Diceros bicornis minor: one gene and its partners. The protein of the gene in region 1 purifies or fractionates together with the protein of each later gene. This does not show direct contact. Links are inferred from orthologs where the notes say so. Each region holds a gene or a part of one and is shown on either strand. Other genes may lie near its edges.

What was found. Proteins that work in one complex are often made in the same cells at the same time.
Region 2: the proteins of SKP1 (region 1) and CRY2 purify together in Homo sapiens (co-immunoprecipitation; 3 studies listed by BioGRID and IntAct, with this or other methods). This does not show direct contact. The link is inferred for Diceros bicornis minor from reciprocal best matches to the Homo sapiens genes SKP1 and CRY2.
Region 3: the proteins of SKP1 (region 1) and FBXL12 purify together in Homo sapiens (affinity purification with western blotting; 10 studies listed by BioGRID and IntAct, with this or other methods). This does not show direct contact. The link is inferred for Diceros bicornis minor from reciprocal best matches to the Homo sapiens genes SKP1 and FBXL12.

What each region holds. Positions count from the first base shown.
Region 1 is NC_080740.1:53,332,566-53,340,442, forward strand, and holds the start of SKP1 (S-phase kinase-associated protein 1), read right to left. Parts: upstream 3,016-7,877; 5' UTR 2,913-3,015; intron 126-2,912; coding exon 29-125; intron 1-28. UniProt on the Homo sapiens protein: Essential component of the SCF (SKP1-CUL1-F-box protein) ubiquitin ligase complex, which mediates the ubiquitination of proteins involved in cell cycle progression, signal transduction and transcription.
Region 2 is NC_080770.1:24,329,860-24,337,775, forward strand, and holds the start of CRY2 (cryptochrome-2), read right to left. Parts: upstream 3,005-7,916; coding exon 2,769-3,004; intron 1-2,768. UniProt on the Homo sapiens protein: Transcriptional repressor which forms a core component of the circadian clock.
Region 3 is NC_080769.1:9,233,096-9,240,145, reverse strand, and holds the start of FBXL12 (F-box/LRR-repeat protein 12), read right to left. Parts: upstream 3,005-7,050; 5' UTR 2,799-3,004; coding exon 2,713-2,798; intron 2,621-2,712; coding exon 2,548-2,620; intron 1-2,547. UniProt on the Homo sapiens protein: Substrate-recognition component of the SCF (SKP1-CUL1-F-box protein)-type E3 ubiquitin ligase complex.

The sequences.
Region 1 (7,877 bases):
CCTGACCCAGGTTTTCTAATAAACTTACCTTCTAACATGGTCTTGATAGTCACAGATTGTTTGGCAATTTCCACATCAACTTCAAATATCTCTCCATCAGAGCTCTGCAACTTAATTGAAGGCATCTAAAAAAAAAGTACTATATTGAATTTGAAATTTAAGAGATATTAGTTCTCTACATTTCATCAACTACAGTCTGTTAGAAGCCCTCTAACTTATTAACTATAAAATCCTAAGGAACTGTAGTAGATACCTCTGTAAAACACTGTAAGTGGTAATTCACAGGCCAGCATACAAGTGTTTCTATAAAATTTTTTCAAAGACTAACTCCTAGGAACAGAAGCTTTTAAGGCCTGCCCTACTGAACTCAATACTGGTATAAATTTAAGGGTTACATTCTATACTTTTGATGCAAAATAGATCTCAAATGGACTTACTTTCTGTCTGCCTTTCTGCTCTCACTGAATACTGACTACTCTCATTTGAATAGTTAACTATCACAATTAACCACCTGCAAACCTGAGGAAGGTCAGTCCAAAATAAACAAAGCAATCAAATAAGGGAGTACTTTTCCCATTGTGAGACCTAACAGTGAAAAATGCATTCAGATCCCAAAAGTAGATCAGGATATACTTATTTATGTTTGGATCAATGCAAGACCATATATAAGACAGTAAAAGATTTAAGAATAAGCAGATGTCAATCTAATTCCCTAAACCAAATAAGGAACTTAAACTTCACCACCCTTCTTATACTTCATTTCTGACTGTCCAGGTGTTCCAGTTTGAGATCTTCTGCCGAAATCCTCATAATAATAACCTATTACTTGCTCCAAAAATGTATTTATTAACTCGGATTAATTATGAGTCACCAGGAAAAAGACATCTCTTACATAAAAGTTAATTAAGCAATTAACTTCAAAGAATTTAAGTTCCGGGGAAAAAACAATAAAACCTCTTTAAAATTAAGAATTCTAAGCCAGCAATTTTTTTTTTTTACCATCTTTAGAGTCTTCAGCAGGAGAGGAAAGGGCAGCAATATGTGATTGTAAAGATTAATTCAAGACCTCTTCAAATTTTAAGTATTGCTTTTGAAGCTCCATGCTTTTCAGGTATTCATAATCCTGTGATGTCCCTATTAACTTCAAAGTGTAGAATTCGGCATTTAAAACAGTCATTGCACCCATTTTAGGTTCAAAGGCCTAAGACCCATTAAATCAGTTAAAATATTCATTCAGCTTTTCCCAGACAATTGTTTCCATCCCCCAAACAGACAAGCTGTTAGGGAAAGGAAGCAAAAAGGTAAAACTATATTTTCAAACCAGCCATTGATATATCCTGTTCTCACTACACCATGGTTGGAGAGAATCGCATTTCACTTTTCAGTTCACAAATATGTCTGCTTCTCCATGTTGCTTAGTGCTTGCCAATAATGCAGTTGTCCTGCTCAATGAAGGGCCCAGAGCAGAGGACCTTCCCTGTGACAAGGCAACAACAAAAGGCATCCCCACTAGAGCCCAATTTTTACTTAGAAAACATTCTATGTTCTTTTTATATTCCAAAGCACCAGAACGAACATTACAGAAACATGAGTCTGGTAAAGCAGTTGATAAAATTACTTTTAAGCAAGACGACCATTTCATACTTCTTTCAAATAACTCTCGATAAATAGCAAGATCTGCTTAGTCATAGTCAAATTTGTTTATTAGGTTACTCTTAAGGGAGTTGAGATCCTATTAAATAGCAAGGAGGCAATCGGTTAATCTGTAATTCAATGCACTTTGTAATCCTAGACTTAAAACTCAAAGAGAACTTTTTTCAGTGTTACACAGCTGGAATTCAGTGCAAAAATTTCAGATCACAATGGATAAAATTTTGATTTGACATGCTTTCAAGACCATTTCTCCAATTCCTTAGGCTCCTGAAATTGGAAATTAAATCACCCTCCATGGCTGGCAGGAAGTGGGTTCTATCAACATCATAAAGAAAAAAAACCTGTGTTTCAAGTGCCCTGAAATTCTGACACTTGTTTTTAGAGGGCAGAGTGGAGAAGTCTGCATTGCTCTACGACACAGATACTTTATATTGTGAAGCTCTGGTGAAAACTGCATGACCCCAAAACCCAAACCTTAAGTCTCCACTAAAAAGTGAACTAAATCAGGCAAACGTCCTATCCCTTGGAGACCCAGACGCCTCGAGTTAAGTTTTACAGAGTTGGGGCTCCTAAAAGCCACATCACTATGACGACAGTATCTGCTGTTACAATAGTTGTTTCAGCAACTCCAGGCTGTGGCAAAATAACGGAGAGAAATATTCAGAAGGAGCAGGGGGCTATCTGCAAAGATTCAGCCCCAGCACAGATAGCCAGCATCGGCAACTAGTGACGCCTGACCCAGGGGAAAGGATGGGAGCCGAGATTCCCTAGCTCCGGACTACCGTCGCCACGCTCCCTCCGACACCAAAACAACAACACGGACACACGCCCACGCTCACGACAGACAAGGGCCCTCCACTAAAAGCCCCGACGCCACCTCCGCCCTGGGTCACCGGGGCCCGCAGTCTCAACGCAAAGGGAGGCCCCAGGCCGCAGCCTGGGCCTTGCGGCCGAGCTCCGCGCCAGCGAACGCTCGCTGTGCGCAGAAAAGGCCCAATCCCGGGCTCGGCTCGCACCTCCTGCCTCCTGCCCGCCCGGGCGCCCACCGGGCGTCGCGAGGTCGCGCGACCAGAACAGTCCTCGTCGAGGGGCGGGGCGGGAGAAGGGGCCCGCCGGCACCTCCCGCAGAACGGGGTCTGCAACGGGTTCCACCGGGCCTGAGGGAAGGCCAGGCCCCGGTGCCTCCCGCCTCGGTGCGGGCACCCAACCTGCCATCCGCGGCGCCACCGCCCCTTCCAGCTCGGTCAGAGGCTACTTACGGTGTTGGGTCTCAAGGAGACGGCGGGCGGGAGGCTGACGGGGGCACAGCGGCGTCAGCACACACAGGAGAAAAGCAGACAACAAGGCCACTACAGCGACGCGGCGCGGCGTCGGCCTTTATATGGCGGGCGCAGGCGCCGAGGACCCCGGGGCCCGCGGCGTCACAGAGCCGGCGGGGCTGGCCGCGGAGATCGCCTGACGGCAGGCGGAGGACGGAGGGGCCGGGCCGGGCGGAGAGGCGGTGGCGGGCGGGCGCGGCGGGGCGGGGGCGGGGCTTCATTCTTACCCCACCCTCGAAAGCGCTGCTCGCCCTCCTCAAAGCGGGAACGAGGGACTGGTTGGGCTTCTCCGCGGTTTGCAGGGGCCCTTCAGGCAGGGTCTGTCCTAAGCCGAACTAAAGACCCCAGACGTGAAAAGCCTAGAAAGTGTCAGTGTGTGTGGAGCGGAGAGGGGGGCGTGGATGAGGTCAGGGTGCGGCTCGTCTTTCATGACGGGAAAACTGGGGCTCAAAGAAGGAAGGCAGCTGCGCTTTGCAGTCACTGCTTTGAGATTCCGCTCAGGGCCTCAGTGTCCTCTGAACCCAAGAAGAGTTAGCTCATCCTCCACCATAACCCATGAGGTGAAATATTGTTTGCCTTTTTCTCCTTTGTATGTGAGGGAACAGGTTCACAACGGTTGAGTGGCAGAGCCAGGATTTGAACCTTGCTCCATAGTTTGGTGCTCTTAACCCTCATTTCCTACCATTTATTTCTGAAGAGGCCTCCAGGCCACAAATAACCATTGTTCCAGGGAAACCCCAAGTCTTGAGAGGAGGCCTCTCTCTGGCAGTGAATATCCACTGCTTCAGCAAACGTGTATTGAGCGCGCGCGCGCGCGCGCGTGTGTGTGTCACAGTGCGGGGATTTGGCAGTGACCCAGGCAGCCAGGGTCCAGCCTGGCCAGAACTCTTGTATGGGATGCTCTCTGAAGGCTGGGATAGGGGCCACTGGAGGAATCCAACGCTAGGGAGGGAAAGGGCTAGTCTGAAAACTCCCACCCCCAGCCAGCCAGTCAGGGACTTCGCCCGCTCTCCCCTGCTCTGGCCGGGAACGCTGCCACCCCTCCCTAGGAGACTGAGGCGCCCGGCTCACCTAACCAACAAGCACGTGATGGTATTCCTGACGCCAGGGAGACAAAAGACGCTTCCACACAGGGCCCGGAAAGGAATCAGAGGCCTACAGCTCTTCTGGGATGAGACTGGGCAGGGAGGCCCAGCAGCTCCTTGGGTTACCAGGTCTTTGTCTACAAGCTGTGGTATCCAGTGTCTGCCCGGTGCCACAGCTGATGACAGGAAGATGAAAGGACCTACAGCTCTCATAATTTTTCTCTACAACACAGCCTTGCCCTCAGCAGCTTGAGCTTCAGGTCTCCTAGGCAAGGCCCACTGGAGCCCCTTTGCTCCGCTGCCCATGGCATACAAGGTAGCACCTGGTAAACTCTTGTTGAGCATCCTAAACAGGACTGGGCAGTGCCAGGTCACACATCTAGCCCGAGGACCCAGCCCAGGGCCTGTAAAGGAGGTGTATGTTTTTCCAAATATGTCTGGGGACCCGCAATATTGGAATCATCAAGAGAGGCTTGTTTTTAAAATGCAGGTTTCATTTACTCATATACGCTATTATATGCATAGTTTTCTCAGGAAAGATACACAAGAAATTGTTTGCCTCAGGGGAGGGGAACCAGGTGACTGGGGAACAGGGGTTTGGGTGATTTTTCACTTTATACCCTTTTCTACCTTTTGGATTTCGGTCCATATGAATGTATTACATATTCAAAAAGTTTTTACTTCAAAAATAAATTGGCATCAGGTCAAGAAAAATGCAGATTCCAGGGTCCACTCTTGAGCTAATGAATCAGACTCCCTGGGGGCAGGTTTTTCTGTCTTTTAAACAAGTTCTCCAAGCGATTCTCAAGCCCAAGGTAAGTTGAGAAACCTCTGTAGTAGGGACTCAGTGATGAAGCCTTGCTAAGAAGGGACCAGCAGTGTCTGTCAAAGGTGACTAGTTTAGCTCTACACTTTCTGAATCAACCGTATCCTCTTTCAAACCCTCCACTCAGGAGGAACAAGGCAGTTGTGGGACTGTAGGATGCAGGCTGGGGATCACTCACCCCCAGTCATTTATTCATAATCACTAGCCCAGGTCAGAAAGGACTGGCCCCCACAGACTCCCGTTGGTGTGTGGAGGTGTGTGTGTGTGTGGGGGGGGTGCTTCTGGTTCCAGAGCTGGCCATGAGAAGGCTGAGGTCTCATACTTACTCCAATCACTCCACACACCATGTTATCAAACTCCTTGTTCTAGAGAGGAAGGAAATGCAACCAAAGAGCAAGGACTTTCCCAGTGTCACACAGCCACTGCAGAGGAGGGCTGAGGCTCCAATCCCAGCTATGCTTCTGCCACCACAGCCCAGATATTGAATTTTAACCCTCAAATGCCAGGAATATTTTCTGATTTACAACTGATACCAGCATACTACCTCCAGGGAAGCTAAAGGCCTTGGATTGAAGCAGTCCAGGTGGCAAAATCTGTTTTTTATGGTGAATTCATTTCCAGAGGTGATCTCCCTTTGTAAACAGAGTTTCAATGCTGTAAAGGGTTCATGGGACGATTCCTATGAGGACCAGCCCTCTCAGTGCATCTAAAATTCAGTTCACACTCCCTTTCTGAGGCACCCACCCATGGGACAGACTCTGGACTCTGAATGTGTGTTCCAACCCATAGGACAGCATGTAAGCTACGAAGTAATCCCGTCCCCATGGTCAGAGATCCCCTGGCTGCACTCCACTGCTCTCTTGCTCCGCTGGTAGAGGTAAGCACAGCGACTCTATTACGTGATCTTGGGCAAGTTATTTCACCTCTCTGAGCCTCACCTTCCTCTGCTTAGCCCCTCCTTCTTCCTTTTTGCCAAACTCTAAGCCTTCCACCTAAAGTCAGACCACCATATTACTCCAGAGGAGAAGGTGCTGAATGCAAAGAAAAACAAGTCAAATTCTTAGATCTTGATTTGCAAAATGGACTCTTGAAACCCAAAGCTTTTCAGACAAGAAGGTTTTTTGGAGCACTGAAAGCCCAAGATGCTGAAGGACTCAAATCTTAAATTTTATACTAGCAACAGCAGGGTTGGGAAGAGGAGGTATGATGATGCCAGAGTCAGTTTTCCAAAAGGCTGGGAGTGGGGATGAAATCGAGGCAGAGAAGAGAGCATTGTAGTTAGCTACTGGGGTGGGTCTCTGAAAAGGGACTGTCTCCCACTCATTCCCCCTATCCCCTCAATCCAGGGATATGGAATGATTAGGACCCCCAGAAAGATTTGGGGTCTCTAAGAGTGAAGAGAATCTATCTTAGTCTGTAAGGTCTAAAGTGTTCCGTGATGAGAAGTTATGGCAGCAGTCAAGTAGAAATGGCAGCTGAGTATGCCTAGGCAGGTGGGTCTGGGAGCATCTCAGGCTTGTGCCTAATGTGTGAGGATCCCAAGGATCATCAAAATATGTCCTGAGGCCCTAAAACAGAATGGATGTTGCTCAAAGAGGAGGCAGATGACCAGGAAGGGGCTTCTGGGATGTAATAAGGGGAGCACTAAAGCAGATAAACCTGGACAGTCCAAACCAGAGACCATGGCACAAATGCAGACATCTCTTGGGACAGCAGAAACCAAGGATGACAGTGCACAACTGGTAGGGGTGAGGTCTGCCTGCCTCCCTGAGCAGTAGAGGAAGATGGATGATGACCAACGACCAGACAGCTTCCAGCCCCTTCCCCTCCCACTCCATGCCATGAGCACATAAGCTCTGCAGAATGTAGCTGTGACCCTGGATATCAGAAGAGGGACAGAACCCTCAACTTGACTGAAATGACTGAGTGATCATACACTTACTTGACTGAATTTGCCAGGAAGTGACCAGATTATATTTCTGCTATCAAATGGAAATAGGTACTATACAGAGTAATTAAGAAAATAAGTGAGCTATCATTTTGGCATACCTGAGTTTTCAGACTTTACAGTTTCATATGGCCACAGGTGCACAGGAATCATGCAGACCTGCTGCTGCCCACTTGCTGCTCACATCCTGTGGGATGTGAGTGGGATCAAAGAGGAGGCAAACATGGCTTTCCCTCTCTGGCCTCAGTTTCCTTGTCTGTAGAATGGGGCTTATAGCAGTACCTACCTCACAGGATTTTTGTGAAAATTAGTTATTTTAATCACCAGAATGGCTAAACGTAAGAGAATGACAATACCAAGTGTTGATAGGAATGTGGAACAACTGGAACTCTTACACACTGCTGATGGGAGTTCAAATTGGTACACTTCAGAAAATTGGCAGTACCTACTAAAGCTAAACATACATATATTGAATGGCTCAGTAATTCCAATTCTGGACAAATACCCAACAGGAATAAATCCTTATGTCCACCAAAAATATGTTTAAGAATGTTCACAGCAACTTTATTCATAAGAGGAGAAAACTAGAAATAACAAATCCATCAACTGTAAAATGAAAAAATAAACCGTCGTATAGTATTCATAAAAATGGAATACTAAACAGCAATGAAAAACTACTGCTATAAATAACTCCATGGATGAATCTCACAGACATAATATTGAACAAAAGAAGCTAGACACAAGAGTACTTATTGTATGAGTCCATTGAAATGAAGACCAAAAACAGGCAAAAACTAATCTAGGTTAGAGAAGATAGAATAATAGTTACCTTTGGCAGGGAGGCAGGTATTGATAGGAGAAGGATGCTAGAAATTCTCTATTTTGATCCAGGTGGTAGTTTCATGGGTGTATGCATATATAAAAATTCACTGAGCTATAATCGTATCTGTCTACTGCATGCAAGACATAACTCAATTTAAAAAAGGGGGGAGGGTGTGAAAAATGTGATAATGTATGTTGCATGCTTAGCATGGTACCAGGGTCAG
Region 2 (7,916 bases), on another chromosome or scaffold:
CTACAGTTAGTCCATAAACTTCCCACCACCACCAAAGCAAGGAGAATGCCAGCCCTTCTCCTAGGCTCATAAACATACATATTTCTTAATTGCCTCTCTCTGTCCTCTTTTACTCTTAGAAAGTGCCATTCATGGTTATTTTAATCTGATTCATCCGCCAAAAAACGCTGTGTGGGAGTCAGTGTAGGAAGCGCAGGAGATAATAGAGATCACAGATTTTGGTGCCATCTCCATCCTGCAGATGGCCCGGGGCCCACCCTTCTTAGGGAGGCTTCTCAGCAAGTGAAGCAGAGTGAGGACACTGTGCTGCAGCGCAATTCTCCCAGATCACTCCTGGATCCAGAAACAGCCCCCGGAAGATTACACATACTCGAGTTACGCAGAGGTATGGCTGGCTCCATCACTCCCCCCAACCGAGTGCATAAAGGAGCGTGCAGCAGTGCCCTCCATCCAATCAAAGGAGCAAAGAGTATGGGGGTGGGAGGAGTGTGTCTATTTCCAGGCCCAGGAGCAGTTATTACATTCGATCTGTTTGTGTCATTTCACTTCTTTCTTCTGAATGCCAAAACTAATTAGACTTCCTGCCAATGCACAGCAACACATTTTCCAAGCTGTCGGGCTCAGGTCTGTGGTTCTCTAGTCGAGTGCTTCTCAGGCTTTGCTGCACCTGAGAGCTTTAAAAACCCTAATGCCCAGGCCATAACCCAGAACAATTAAATCAGAACTGGGGGAAGGGGGGTGAGGCATCTTTTAAAGATCCTTAAGTGATTGCTATATGCAGCAAAGTTGAGAGTCAGTACTCTAGTCCATCCTCCTATTTTATTTATTTCATGGCACTTCTACTAAATTATGGTTGTTTACTTGTCTTCCTTCATTAAAATGTAGGTTTCAGGAGCTCTGGACACGGCATCCTCTTGTTCACTGCTGTGACCTGAGCAGCCCCTAGGGCAGTGCCTAGCAGATATTAGGCACTCATTAAAACAATTGCTCAATTAAAATCTGCATTCCTACACGGCCTCTGACTTCAGGATCTGACTCAGGTATCTGAGCTGCCACATTCCACTTCTCCTTCACTTGCTTGAAAGCACAATCACAAAAGCATGACCCATAAAAATCCATAAACATCTAGTTCCTAGCAAATCGGAGTTTAATCAGCAAGAGTTTTTGTTGCTGATTTTTAATCTCTACTAGCACAAAGGAGTAGGCAGTCCTCTGCGATGTCCCCCAAAATCCAACAAAAGAAACTCCTTGGTGACAGTGTAACAAGTCGATAGTCTGATCTATTTACTCTGCTCGGATTGGCACACTGACATAAGCGAGGGGCAAAGTCTGAGGCTCAGTTTAACCTTCCTGCTAGATGGCCATTTGAGGATGTCTGTGGAACCCAACCTCCTATCTATAGAAACTGGAGCAGAGACAGAGCAACAGAGCCGCCTGAAAACTGTGTGGGCAGGCTCTCCACAGGACTATCTTTAGTTGTTCTCTCTATATAAGTGGGGCAGGAGGGGGCATTTCACAGACCCACTGCTAGAGCCCTCACTCTCCCAGCAGGGCACACACCTTGGAGAGGGAAGGACGGTGTGCTGAGAGCCACTGTATCCTGGGAATAACCCTGCCCAACGCAATATGGCCACAGCAAACATCCTCCAGAACCACGCAAACAAACCGAATGACTCCTGTGGGATGTTTTAATGACAGATGAGTACACGATGTCTCAGAACGCCTTGGTTTTAAACACTGATTACAGAGAAAATACATCAACTACCTATCTGTGAATCCTTTCCCAAGATCCTGTCAACTCCATTTCCTGGAGTAATCGAAGACGGGCCCTTGATAGCAGTTTTCCTGCTCCCTGACCTCAGCACATCAGTTGATAAAAGTCTAATCTTTGGTGGTTCAACTGTCCTTTAAGATCAGTCTCATAAGAAGGGGAGGAAGGAAGTAACACTGTGTTTTTTTTTTTTTTTCCTAGCAAGCTCACTGCTGCTGAGGGAATTCTCCAAAATGGGTTCAGTCCTGCTCTCTAGGTCAGGAGACAAAGTGCCTCTAACTGAACATGGCCTTGGGGTCTGTACCTATAACACATAGGAGAGGGCACTTGCCTTCTTATCTAATGCTAAGCCAGAGTCTCTAGACACCTCCAGAGGCAGGATAGTCTTGGTGGAAGGGCAGTCGGCATCGGTGAAAAGATGGATTCAAACACACCAGAGGCTTAGAGACGACCTTCAGGAGCCCAGCAATGGGCTCTTTACTCGAAGAGTGCACGCGTCTGCTGTGCTATGGATTCAGAAACCCGTCCCTGCCCTCACAGCGCAGAATCTCCTTTTCTCCCCGCCCTGAGCGCACCCCTAAGAGCCCTAGACCAGGAGTCCCCGGTCTGCCACGCACTGGCCGCAAGTCCTGGGGCAGGGCAACTTTGCGTCTCTAAGGCTCAAGAGTCTCATCTGTACAACGGGGACCATGATCTCTGTCCTCTGGAATGTTGTGAGGCCCAAGGGGATAAAGAGTGAGGAAGCGCTTTGTCAGAGGCCGAGCCCTGGTCCCCCCCGGCCATTGGCACGATGACTAATTGCTTTCCCCATCTTGGCTTCTCCCCTCTGGGGACCCCGCTGGGTCTTCCTGCCCCGCTTCCCTAGGCCGGAGTCTTCCGGCCGTGGGGACTGCGGGGCAGAGCTTCCCCCTCTCTGTGGGGGGGCCCGGGCTGTTCGCGAGCGCCCCGCGGCCAGGCTGCGTCCCCCAGGCCCGCACCCCCGTCCCTGGCCCCTCACCTCCATCGGTTGATCCCGACCGAGGACGAGGCCGCGAACCAGGGGTCGAGGATGTAAACGCAGCGCACGCAGCGCGCCCCGCGCACGGCCGCCAGTAGCGCCGGGTTGTCGTGGAGCCGCAGCCCCTTGCGGAACCAGTGCACCGAGGAGGCGCCATCCGCTCCGGCCGCCGCCGCCGCCGCCGCCGCCGCCGCCGGAGCCCCCCCTGCCCCCGTCACGACCGCCGCCGCCGCCATCACCGCCGGGACTGCTCGGCCGCCGCTGCTCCGCCCCGTCGGCGCCGCGGGCCCCGCCCCCAGCCCGCCCAGTGACCTATGACGCCGCCGCTCCTCCCTGTGGCCCCGCCCCTCTGGCCCTGGAGCGCCTCTGCCATTGGCTGGGTGCCTTCCTCCTGGCGATTGGCCTAGCGGCGCCGAGTTCGGCCCCGCCCCATCACGTTCCCACCATGTGTCCGCCGGCGGGGGAGGAGCCGGCGGGCGGGGCGGGTGACGCAGGCTGGCCCTCCCTGCGGAGGTCTGGGCGTGCACCGAGTCTGGGGGCAGCGGATCTCTTACGCGCGTCCTGTTCAAGGCCTGCCGCTGGAAGAAACTGCCTGAGCTGGTGGGGCTTGCCAGTCCAGCCAGTGACTTACAGGACTGACAACCGGCCGTCCTACAGCACCATGCTCCTCCTCCTCCTCCTCCTCTGCCTTCACCCTATTACATCATCTGCAGCATTCTACTATTTGAGTGTATTTTATATGCCAAGCAACGTGATAATCTCCTTACATAGACTGTCTCATTTACTACTACACAACTCAGCCCAGTTGCGTTCATTCAAAAACTCCAGTGAAAGAGCTGTTTTATTCTCATTTTACAGACGAAGAAAACTTTGAGGCTGCCGTAGGTTGAGAGACTTGCTCAATATCATAAATCTAATAAGAGGACTCCACCCAGATTATTCTGATTCCAAATCTTCTGCTTTTATCCACAAAGCTACGCTTCTATTTGCGCTGAGCAACTTGTCGTTTGCAAGTGGCAGAGTCTGAGAAGGGGGTGGAGTGCGCTGATGCGCAGCAGTAGATGGGCTGGGAGTAGGGACTGCGAATGTGGAGGACGTGGGTTGAGATAGTAATTATTCCATCAGATGAATTTATTTTCTTTTAGTTCTATGTTTAGTAGATCCAGTGGTACCACTGTGCACAAAGCACTGTGGTGGATTCGTCTTGGACTCAAAGATGTGGAGGACACTGTCCCCAATCCTCCCCTGGGGAATTGGGTTGAGGCTTCTTATTCTTCTGGAGTCTAGCGCAGGTCTCGCTGATTGACGGCCCCACTGACTGAATGGCAGGAGAAGCATATGAACACCTGCAATGAAGTGACGGTGGGCTAAGATGGCCTAGGCAGGGTGGAGCTCTGCAGTTATCAAGTGAAGAGTCTGTTTCAATTTGGCCCTAGGTTGTGCCCATGCTCGGAACCCTTTCTGAACTTGGGAATGAGCAATGAAAGAATTTAGCAATTTAGTCAGCAATTTAGTGGCATTAATTGGCACCACTCTATAAATCAGAGCATCGTTGCGATCCTAGGATTTCTCATTTCCAGGACTTTGCCAAGTTGTTCTTTCAAGCCTGGATCACACTCCCCACCCCATCCACTTTCGAACTCCAGCTTGTCCTGTGTCACCGCTCAGTAAAGATGTCACTTCCTTGCTGTCTGGTCCAAGCCGGCATAGTGCCTCATCTCTTTCCGTGCTGCTTCTTATCACTGGCCTTAGTACATTTACTGGAACTTCTTACTTGTCTGTCTGCCCCATTAGACTATAAACTCCTGGAGGGCAGGGGCCGTGGCTTACTTATAGTTGTATTTCCAGGATCTAGCTCAGTGCTTGGCACTCAATGCTTGAAGACATTTGAGTCAAAATTGAACAGGAACTAGAGTCTCAGGTTGACAGGAACCTTAAAGGTCTATCCCAGCGATGAAAATAATAAGAATAATAAGAAGTTTTCACATATTGAGGTATATGAGGAAGCCATTCTGGTTTAAATTTGATTTGGCCCAAAACTTGTTTTTCCCAGAGCAGTCTGACTTATGGCCCACCAAACACGCATTGTACATCTGCTTCAAAGATTTTCCCAAAGCAACAACTGCACTCTTTAAAGAGGGGTGAATGTCTCCCTTTCTCTGATACCAGTACTTCCGTGAAGATTAGCTTTGTTTTTCCCCAGAGAACTAAGGTCAAGCTGACCTGCTATGTGTGTACTAAATTGAGGCAAAACATCTCCTTGTGACTTTGGAAAAAAAACACTGTATTCCTGTCATGCTTGATGTATGTTCTTCGTTCTGAACTCATATATAACAACGCTGTAAACCATGCTTCCCTGGAGTGCTTTCCTCCCTGGGGAAGAGAGCACTTCTGGGCTAGTCCTCACATTAGCTCATTAAATATCACTCTCTCTTTCTTATCTACAGATTGGTTATTGGTATCTGCATAGACACCAGTCCTGACCCTGGCTTTACTTTTGAATCCCCTCTCCAAATGCTTGCTGAATGAATAGATGCCACCTCTCGTTATTTTTCTTTTGGGACTTTGTGTTCCTCCCTCTCCCATCTCCTCTTCTCTCCACAAGGTGGATGCTCTGCTAGGAATGGAACAGAGGGTGTAAGAGATGGTTCTTCCCTACAGCCTCAAAGATGAGTAGTCTTCTCTTTTTCTCCTCTGAACTCCTATGATGCTTTCTTTATAGACTGTGAGCTCCATGAGGGCAGGGACTGTGCTTATCTTGCTCATTAGTGTCTTCTCAGTACTAGTTTGGTCCCCGACATGTAGTAGATGCTCAATCAATATTTGCTGAATGATTGAATGTTATTTATCTATTTCTGTCTTTTTAGGCTCTCATGAAAGGCAGTGTGGTATGGTGGTTAAGTCCAAGGGCTTGCACATTTGCAATGTCTGTGTTCAAACTCTGGTTCTACTTTTACTCTGTGTGACCTTGGGTAAGCTAGTTGACCTCTCTGTTCCCCACTTTCTTCACCTATACGATAGGGATGATAATAGTAGCTAAGATATAGTAAGCATTTAATAAGTATCAGCTTATTATTATTCTATTATTCTAAACAGCAGGATCTGTGTCTGCTTTGGTCTTCCTTGCAACACCTCGCCCTGGGTCTTTCACATAATGAGTGCTCCATAAGTTGCTGAGTGAATAAAAGATTTTAATCAGTTAAAAAGTCCTCAAAATTATACCAGTAATGCAAAACAGAGAGAAGTAATCACCATCAACCCCCAAAACCAAACAAGTCAATTATTGTTTTTACCTTTATGTTACCTTCTAGACTTTGTCCATAAGCGTCTTTTTATAGCATTAATCAAGGCAGAAGTACAGTGTTTGCATGGCTTTTTAAATGAAATATTAAGCATGTTCTATATTGCTATGTCATTGCCTTTGTGATTGTTATTTTAATACCTATATAATCTTTCATCAGGTTGATAAAAAATGAGTTACTTTATTGAATGATTGCACATTGCTTGCGTATATTAACAGGGTAACATTCAAGAATCAGGAAATAAATCTGTCACGGGTGGAATACTGGAGTGCAAAGTCCACTTTGGGACTTCACATTTCAAAAGGACATAGGGAAATTGGAGAGAGACCAAAGAAACCTGTACATTGCTAAGAGGTAACATGTAATCGTGTACTGTTATAGCTTTGAGAGAAATGAGAACTGAGATTTGACCTTACAGCTCTACACGTCGTTATTTACAAGCATGTCTGAAGAGTTTGCCATGAGGATGCCAAACAGTTGCTCCTTGTTTCCACTAAGCGTAGAACAAAAGAATCCAGTTTACCCTAGGAAGAGTAAGAGATTCAAGGAGGGACTTAGTATAATAAAGTGGTTTGGGAATGAGACAAATTAGCCAGGTAGTGGGAAGTTTCTTTCTTCACTGAAGATATTTAAGAAAACTGAAATCAGTCCAGTTTTGTCCTTTTGCTGTAGTCCTGCTTGGAGACTGGATTAGGCAATTTTTTACATTGTCTTTGAACTGCGCTTTGGGTAAATATTTTATGATTGGTTGCAAGCCAACCAGGGGAGGGCGGGAGGGACGACCCTGGCGAGTTTAAGTTATCTGCGCCCTCTGGTGGTGGGTCTGGGAAAGACGCGGTGGCTCCGTTTGGGGCTGAGCCGGGAGCCCCAGAGCCCCACCCTCCTCTCTTTAGTTACGGGACATGCGCAGTGTGCGGCTGCGGCTTTCCTATTTCTAAGACTTCCCGTAGAGCCTGCTTTGAGATTTGTTGTTTGAACTATTACGAGGGCATGGACCCAAAAACCGGCTTCCTTGGGTTCTATTTCCAGCTCTGCCATTAACTAGTAAATTACTTGGGCAAGTTCCTTAGCCTCTCTGTGCCTCAGTTTCCTCATTTGTAAAATGGGGATGATGATGCTGGGGATGATGATGATGGTAACGATGATACCAGTGCAGCGTGGAATTGGAGCAAGATAGACAAAAGTCTCAGAACTGAGAACCCAGAAACAGACCTTCACATATCTGGATATTTAATCATGACAGAGATGTCTTTGCAAAGAAGTAGGGTAAAGGTGGTTTTTCCTATAATGGAAATGGGTCAATCAGATATCCCAACATAAAAAAATGAAACTTGACAGCTATCTTGGGACATACACACAAATCAGTTTCAGGTAGATTATATAAAACAGTAGATGGTCTAGTGGTTAAGATTCAGTGCTCTCACCTCTGCAGTACGGGTTCGCTTCCCATTCGGGGAACCACACCACCCGCCTGTCAGTTGTCATACTGTGGCGGCTGCATGTTGCTGTGATGCTGAAAGCTCTGCCACCAGTATTTCAAACACCAGCAGGGTCACCCATGGCAGACAGGTTTCAGCAGAGCTTCCAGACTAAGACAGACTAGGAAGAAGGACCTTGTCACCCACTTCTGAAAAAATTGGCCATGAAAACCCTACGAATAGCAGGGAGGATTGTCTGATAGAGCGCCAGAAGGTGAGAGGATGGCACAAAAAGACCGGGCAAGGTTCAGCTCTGCTGTACACAGCGTCACTAGGAGTCAGAGTCAACTTGATGGTTGACTTGACAGCGGTAACAACAAAAAAAAAACAGTAAAGCTTTGAAAAGATTATATAGGAGAATATCCTTA
Region 3 (7,050 bases), on another chromosome or scaffold:
CTTGAGAAACACTGGTTTCTGACAGCACTGTTTTAACAGCAAAATCTAGGAAAAAAACTAAAATGTACATTGGTAAGATAATAGCCATCTAAGCAGCAATTCAGAACAAAGCAGATCTAGAGATACGAACACGGGTAATTTCTCAAGATGGGCAGGAAACAGTGGCAAAATAATGCCTCATAGATAAAAGAAAAAAGAAACAATACCATTTATTTTGTCTGGGTATAACTATTCCCCGACATAACGGCTAACATTTATTGAGTATCTACTGTTTGCTAGGTACAGCGCTGAGCAATGAACTAGAGCACTGATCACTGAACTACCTGGTCATGTAGTAAATACCCCTGGAAAAATAATCTTGGCTAGAATCTTGTTGCAAGAGGAAGAGGTAAGTTTCAACACAGCCTGACTCCAAAGCTGAATCCTGCTCTTGTAACCACTGCTCTTTCCTCCTTACACAGACACAAGGATGTAAACGCATATAAGATGGGATGGAAGGAAATATTCCACCCTTATAGTGGTTCCTCTGGGGAGGGGTGAGGATACCAGAGGATGACTGTCAAAGGCTCTTAGCTTCAGCTGTGGCAATATTTCAACGTTCTTACTAGGAGAATTATTCGTGACTCGTGATTTTTTTAAAATAAACTTTCACTAGTACATAAATTATATATCAAAAAGAGGACTGTAGGGGCTGGCCCGGTGGCGCAAGCGGTTAAGTGCGCGCGCTCCGCTGCGGCGGCCCGGGGTTCGCTGGTTCGGATCCCGGGCGCGCACCGACGCACTGCTTGGTAAGCCATGCTGTGGCGGCGTCCCATATAAAGTGGAGGAAGATGGGCACCGATGTTAGCCCAGGGCCGTCTTCCTCAGCAAAAAAAGAGGAGGATTGGCGGATGTTAGCTCAGGGCTGATCGCCTCACAAAAAAAAAAAAAAAAAAAAAAGAGGACTGTAAAACAAATGTTCTAGTTAATCTATTATGTGTGCTGAAGTGTTTAGGGATGAAGTGGACCCATGTTTGCAACTTATTTTGAAACACACTTGAATAAAATGGATTGGGCCAGCCCTGGGGGCCTAGTGGTTAAGTTCAGTCCATTGGCTTCGTGGACTTGGGTTCAGTTTCCAGGCACGGACCCACACCACTCCTCTGTCAGGGACCATGCTGTGGTGGCGGCTCACATAAAAATTAAAAAGAAGAGGACAATTGACAACAGATGATAGCTCAGGGCAAATCTTCCTCAGCAAGAAAAAAAAAAAAGACTATTTATTCCAGCGGGATAAGGAAAAGGACATTATTTGCCTCACACTAGTTCAGGTCAGGGTTTGCCACCAAATGAATTTGTGCCAAGCTTACAAAAAAACTGTTCACTTTGCAGACTTTTTGATTCTGGAATTGTAGATAAGGAAATGAAGATGATAAAGTATAAACGACCCTACCCTCAGAAATTGCACCTCTAGGTTTCTGAGTAACTCCTACCTGGACACAAGAAGACGGACACAAGCACATTCTCACGGAACAAGAATCAGTGGCATGAGTGACACCTGGGAGGTTCTTAGAAATTCAGAATCTGGGGCCCCCACTCTAGGCAGCTGAATCAGAATTTGCATTCTAACAAGATCCCCACGTGACTCATACGCACAGTAAAGTCTGAGACACCACTTTTAAGACTGTAATCATAAAAAGTTGGAAATAAACTAAATGTCTGTCAACAGGAAAACAGATGAACACATTGTGGTATATTAATTTAACAGCAGTTAAAAAGAATGACCTAGATTACAAGCGCCAATTAGAATAAATCTCAAAAGCAATGTTGTGTGACGGAAGCTAGTTGTAGATGGATGTGTAACTAAAATAGCATTTAAATATCTAAATAGTAGAATAGCATTATCTAAACTTTAGAAACACGTTAACAATACTGTATATTGTTTATATAGGGCACCCACACAAGAAGTAAATAAAAATGTAAAAGGATAAAAATCCACTTTCTAATAGTGGTTGCCTCTGAGGAGGGTTCCAAAAAGTGCGACAAATATACCTATAAATGTTATATGCATATATGTACACATAAACATTTGTATGTGTGTTTCACACGATCTGCAGTAAACGAGGGCAAAGGTTAAAATAGGTTAAATCGAGGACATGATTGTTCTACATATTTGAAATAGTTCATAATAAAAACAAGAAAAATGAGAATGCGGGAAAGTAGAAATGGTTCGGTTGCACTACTCAGGAAATTAATTCTGGAAATAAGCTGACTATGGAAAATTATGTCTCCATGAAAACTCACCAATAATAATAATATTTGATAATGTAATCATCAACCAGCATCTATCGTATGCTGACTATATGCCAGACACTAACGGTGCCCATTCCCTGCACAATCTCGGTTACCCCATTTTGGAGATGGGGAAACTGAGGCCGGGAGGTCGCAGAGGAGCAGGTAAGCGACGCGACCGGAGTGCGCCCGGGACTGCCGGGCTCGAAACCCAGGGTGAGAGGGGTGGTCTCGAGGTCCGGCCACCCGACCGCGGCCCAGGCCGGCCCCACGTACCGTATACAGGGTCAGGTCGACGTGTCGCCACAGCCACCGGTCGTCCACCAGCCTCTTCCAGCGGTGACAGACCCTGAGGGAGGGGACCCGCGGTTAGAACGACCCCGGCCCCGCGGGGACCGGATCCGCAGCTCCGGGCGCGCCCCCCGCCCGGCCCTTCCTCACCTGGAGACGCGGATCCGGTCCCGGACCGGGAGGTAAGAGAAGACCTCCAGCAGGACCGAGTCCGGCAGGTCGGCGAAAGTCGCCATGATCCGGCCGACACGCACTTCCGTTTCCGGCGAGGGGGACTCGGGGATCACCCCGGGGGCGCCCCAGGAGGCGGGGGAAGGTGGGGGTTCGGCAGTGCGGTAGCCGCGGCCTCCGGCAGCCGGCGGAGACTTCCGGCTTTCCTCTTGCGCGAACGTTGTTGGGCCTCAGCTCCACACCAGCTCGGGGTCTGGACCGAAAGCTGAGGACTTCGCTGGGGCCGAGGATCAAACCCAGAAGGCGTGGCCGGGGTGGTGACAAAGCCCGGGGGCGGGGTTAGGGGCGGGGACGAGGCTCTGGGGGCGGGGCTGGGGACGAGGGACAAGCCCGGAAGGCGTGGCCGGGGGGGGGGGTGACGAACCCCGGGGGCGGGGTTAGGGGCGGAGACGAGGCTCTGGGGGCGGGGCTGGGGACGAGGGACAAGCCCGGAAGGCGTGGCCGGGGGGGGGCGGGTGACGAACCCCGGGGGCGGGGTTAGGGGCGGGGACGAGGCTCTGGGGGCGGGGCTGGGGACGAGGGACACGCCCGGAAGGCGTGGCTGGGGTGGGAGACGAAGCCCGAGGGCGTGGCTAACGGGGGGGCGGTGGCTCAGGGGCGCGATTAAGGACGGGACGAGGACCAAGCCCGGAAGGCGAGGCTAAGGCGGTGACGAGCCGGGAGGGTGGGGTGGAGAGACCAGACGTCGAGCGGAGGGCGTGACGGAGAGCGAGGTCTTAACTTTTTTACTTAATCATAGTTTTTGATGCATATACACGAGGATAAATTTGCAGAAGCGAGATAGCTTTTTAAAGTGCATGTTGAATTTTTCGTTTTGATTGATACTGCCAAACTGTTCACAGAGGCTGTCTTGAGCTGACCCTCCCACCAAATGTAGATCACTCATTTTTAAAATAGCAATTCATAAGGGTAGTGAAACTTATTCAAACGTTCCCGTATTGATGAGCATTCAAGTTGCTTCCAGACTTCTTGTTACCACAAACAATAACGCAGCTAAGTATTCTTTATTATATATGTATGTACATATATATGTATGTGTGTATATCCTGCTTTTATTTCTATAGGATAAATAATCAGGAGTCGGTTTGATGAGTCAAAGGACATGTGAGTTTAATTTTGTTAAATCACTCCCCCAAGAGCCTATAATGGCAATAAATATGTTTCTAATACACACACACATACAAAAGCAGGAATTGGAGATTATTTTAAAATTGAAAACTATTTTAAAAAGAAATGCAAAACTCATTAAGATGTATACATGAAATGTGTGCAATTTTTATATATCAATTATGCCTCAATAAAGCTAAAAAAAATACATCTTTATGCTCACACTTATCCATAAATAAATAAAAAGTAAAACACTCTGGTTTCTCACCTATCAGATTAAGAAAGATGAAGAAGCTGGAAAATACCCACACTGGCCTTGGTGTGAGGAAACAGATCCTCTCAGCTACCACAGATGGGGCAGGATTGATGCAAACTCTTTGAAGGCTGTTTGGCAATAGGAGATTGCAGCCCCTGTTTGGACCCAACAGTCCCACTTCTAGGATTTCAAGATGTCAAAAAGAATGAGGTAGATCTTTCTGTGCTGTTTGGAATCCTCTCCAGGATATTGTTTGCTTTAAAAAACAAAAAGTGTAGAGGACAGTGTGATACTGGTTCAACACGAGGTTGACATGAGGGAAGCCATATTGTAGGAAAGAAACCCTATTGTAACTTTGAATGACCTCTGATTAACTGACATGCTCTGTGGATTCTATGGCCCCTCCCAGCTGCTATAAGTTGATAACTTTGTTCTTTTGAGTTCCTTAGGAATGTGATGACCCCCGGGCAGAGAGGCTATGCTGATAGCCATCATTAATGACAACTGAAAGATCTGGGTATAGGGCGTTGCTCCGGTCTCTGATGCATATCCAGTAAAACAAAAGACTATCAGGAACTAAACAGACTATCAGGAACAGATATCTGCTCCCACCCAGAGATCAGATGGATGCCCCCACCCAGAGACCAGATGCCTCCCCCACCAGGAGACCAGCCCCCTATATAACTGGCCTGTAATCTTTGTGCTGTAAGATGGCTTTTTTAGGTCATGAGTTGGCCGTCTTCCCTCTTGCTAGCAAGCTGTAATAAAAAGTCCTTTCTCTCCTACCACCTTGCCTCTTGACTATTGGCATGTCTTGCAGCAGGCAGAAGACGCCCCCTTGGGCAGTAACAAGTGCATATAGTTTGATCCCACTGGATATATATATCTCTCTCTCTCTCTCCAATAAAATGCATACACAATTTATAATGTGTTTTGCTTTATACATAAAGGCCTATATAAAAACTAAGTTGTTTGTTTCTGCTCTTTGACATAACTTAACCCATTGCATGTACTTGAAAATATAAAGTCCCTATCTCCATTGGAACATGTTATTAACATCTGAAAAATTTTGTTATCTTCTTGGGAGACTCCATATCACACATGTTTGAAGATGCAGAGACTCAGAAATGGAGACTTTTAATGGTGGTTGCCCCTGGGGAGAGGCTGGGTCTGGAGAGTAAGGAGACTTTATGTTGCTGTATATACACTTTTGTGCTGCTTGCATTTTTGCCGTGTGGAAGTAGTACCTTAAAAAAAAAAAAGTGGGGCCAGCCCAGTGGCATAGTGGTTGACTTCATGCTCTGCTTCATAGGACTGGGGTTCGCGGGTTTGGATCCTACATGCCACTCATCAAGCCATGCTGTGGCAGCATCCCACTTACAAAACAGAGGAAGACTGGCAACAGATGCTAGCTCAGGGCTAATCTTACCAAAAAAAAAAAAAAAAAAAAAAAAACAAACAACAAAATAAATCAAACCCCTTTGATATTCCTCCTCAAACAAGAGCACAGAAAAAGTGCTTCATGCTTTGGCAGCCGTCTTGTGCCTGTGGAAGGAAAGACCAAAAGAATCGCACAGAGATCAAGCCACTTGCCAGGGCCACAAGCTCAGATCTTTCTTTCTTTCTTTTTTTTTTTTAAATAGTCTTTATTGGTTTACACCACGTGCAGCCAGCTCAGAACAAGACGAATGAACAATGGGCTGAGAAGCAGTGTTCCTGAAGGAACAGCGCTTGGCTAGGGGGTCCTTCTAGTTTTGTTTTGTTTTGTTTTGTTTTGTTTTGTTTTGTTTTGTTTTGTTTTGTTTTGTTGGTGAGGGAGATTGGTCCTGAGTTAACATCTATGCCCATCTTCCTCTATTTTGTATGTGGGACGCCGCCACAGCATGGCTTGATGAGTGGTGTGTCGGTCCACACCTGGGATCCCGGGCTGAACCCCGGGACGCCAAAGTGGCGCACATGAACTTAACCACTATGCCACCAGGCCGGCCCCAGCATGGATCTCTCTGGTGCCAGATCCTGGGCCTCTACCACAGTGCTGCATGGTCATGATTCCCTCTGGAAAGCCCCCACCATCATGCAGGGGCAATGTCTTCTCTGCTCCCAGCGTCTTGGGCTTCCTCCTCACAGCACCTGACACGCTGTATTGCAAGGACCTATTCACTTGTTTCCTTCTTTCCTTGTCTTCCTCCTCTATCAGACTGAATTCTGGGGTGGCAGGTCAGCCTTGCTCACTGCCATATCTCCAAGGCCTGCTGCCCTGCTAAGAGATTGGGAGAAAGGACTTCCTGAGCAACTCGCTCCACCCCTAGGATTATTTCTCCTCTGGTGAACCCTGGGTGGGATGGCTGCCTTTAAGTTTGGCAGAACCCAGGTGTCCCTGCCCCCGGCTCAGTTACACCGGTTCCTTAGAACCATCTCCTGCCCCATCAGCACACAGCAGTGGAGAGAAGAGATCCCCGCATTCTGATCCTCTGGGTCAGAATCCCAGGAAACAAGAGGGCAAAGGGGGCCTGCCAGCTGGCAACTTGGGTCGTGACCCAGCACTTTTCCCTTCTGAGAAGCACCTTCCTCCTCCTAGAAGGAGCAGCTCTGACAGCAGATCCGTTTGCCGCCCAGACAGAGTGATGGGGCTGCCCTAGCCCCTCAAAGGGCAGTCACTGAGTCCCTTCATGCGAAGCCCAGAATTATAAGTACCAGGGTGTGTGTAGGGGGTGGGGGACAAGGTCTCTTGTCTCCTGAGGCTCCTCCCCCTCCCACCTGGGTCCAGGAGAGGGAGTCAGTGCTGTCTAGTCCTGGGACTTCTCACTGCCCACTCCCTACTCCCTCCTCAGGATGGCTTAGCCCAGCTGGGGCTGGCAGGCCCCCCAGTAGATCCCCCCACTCCCCATGGAGCC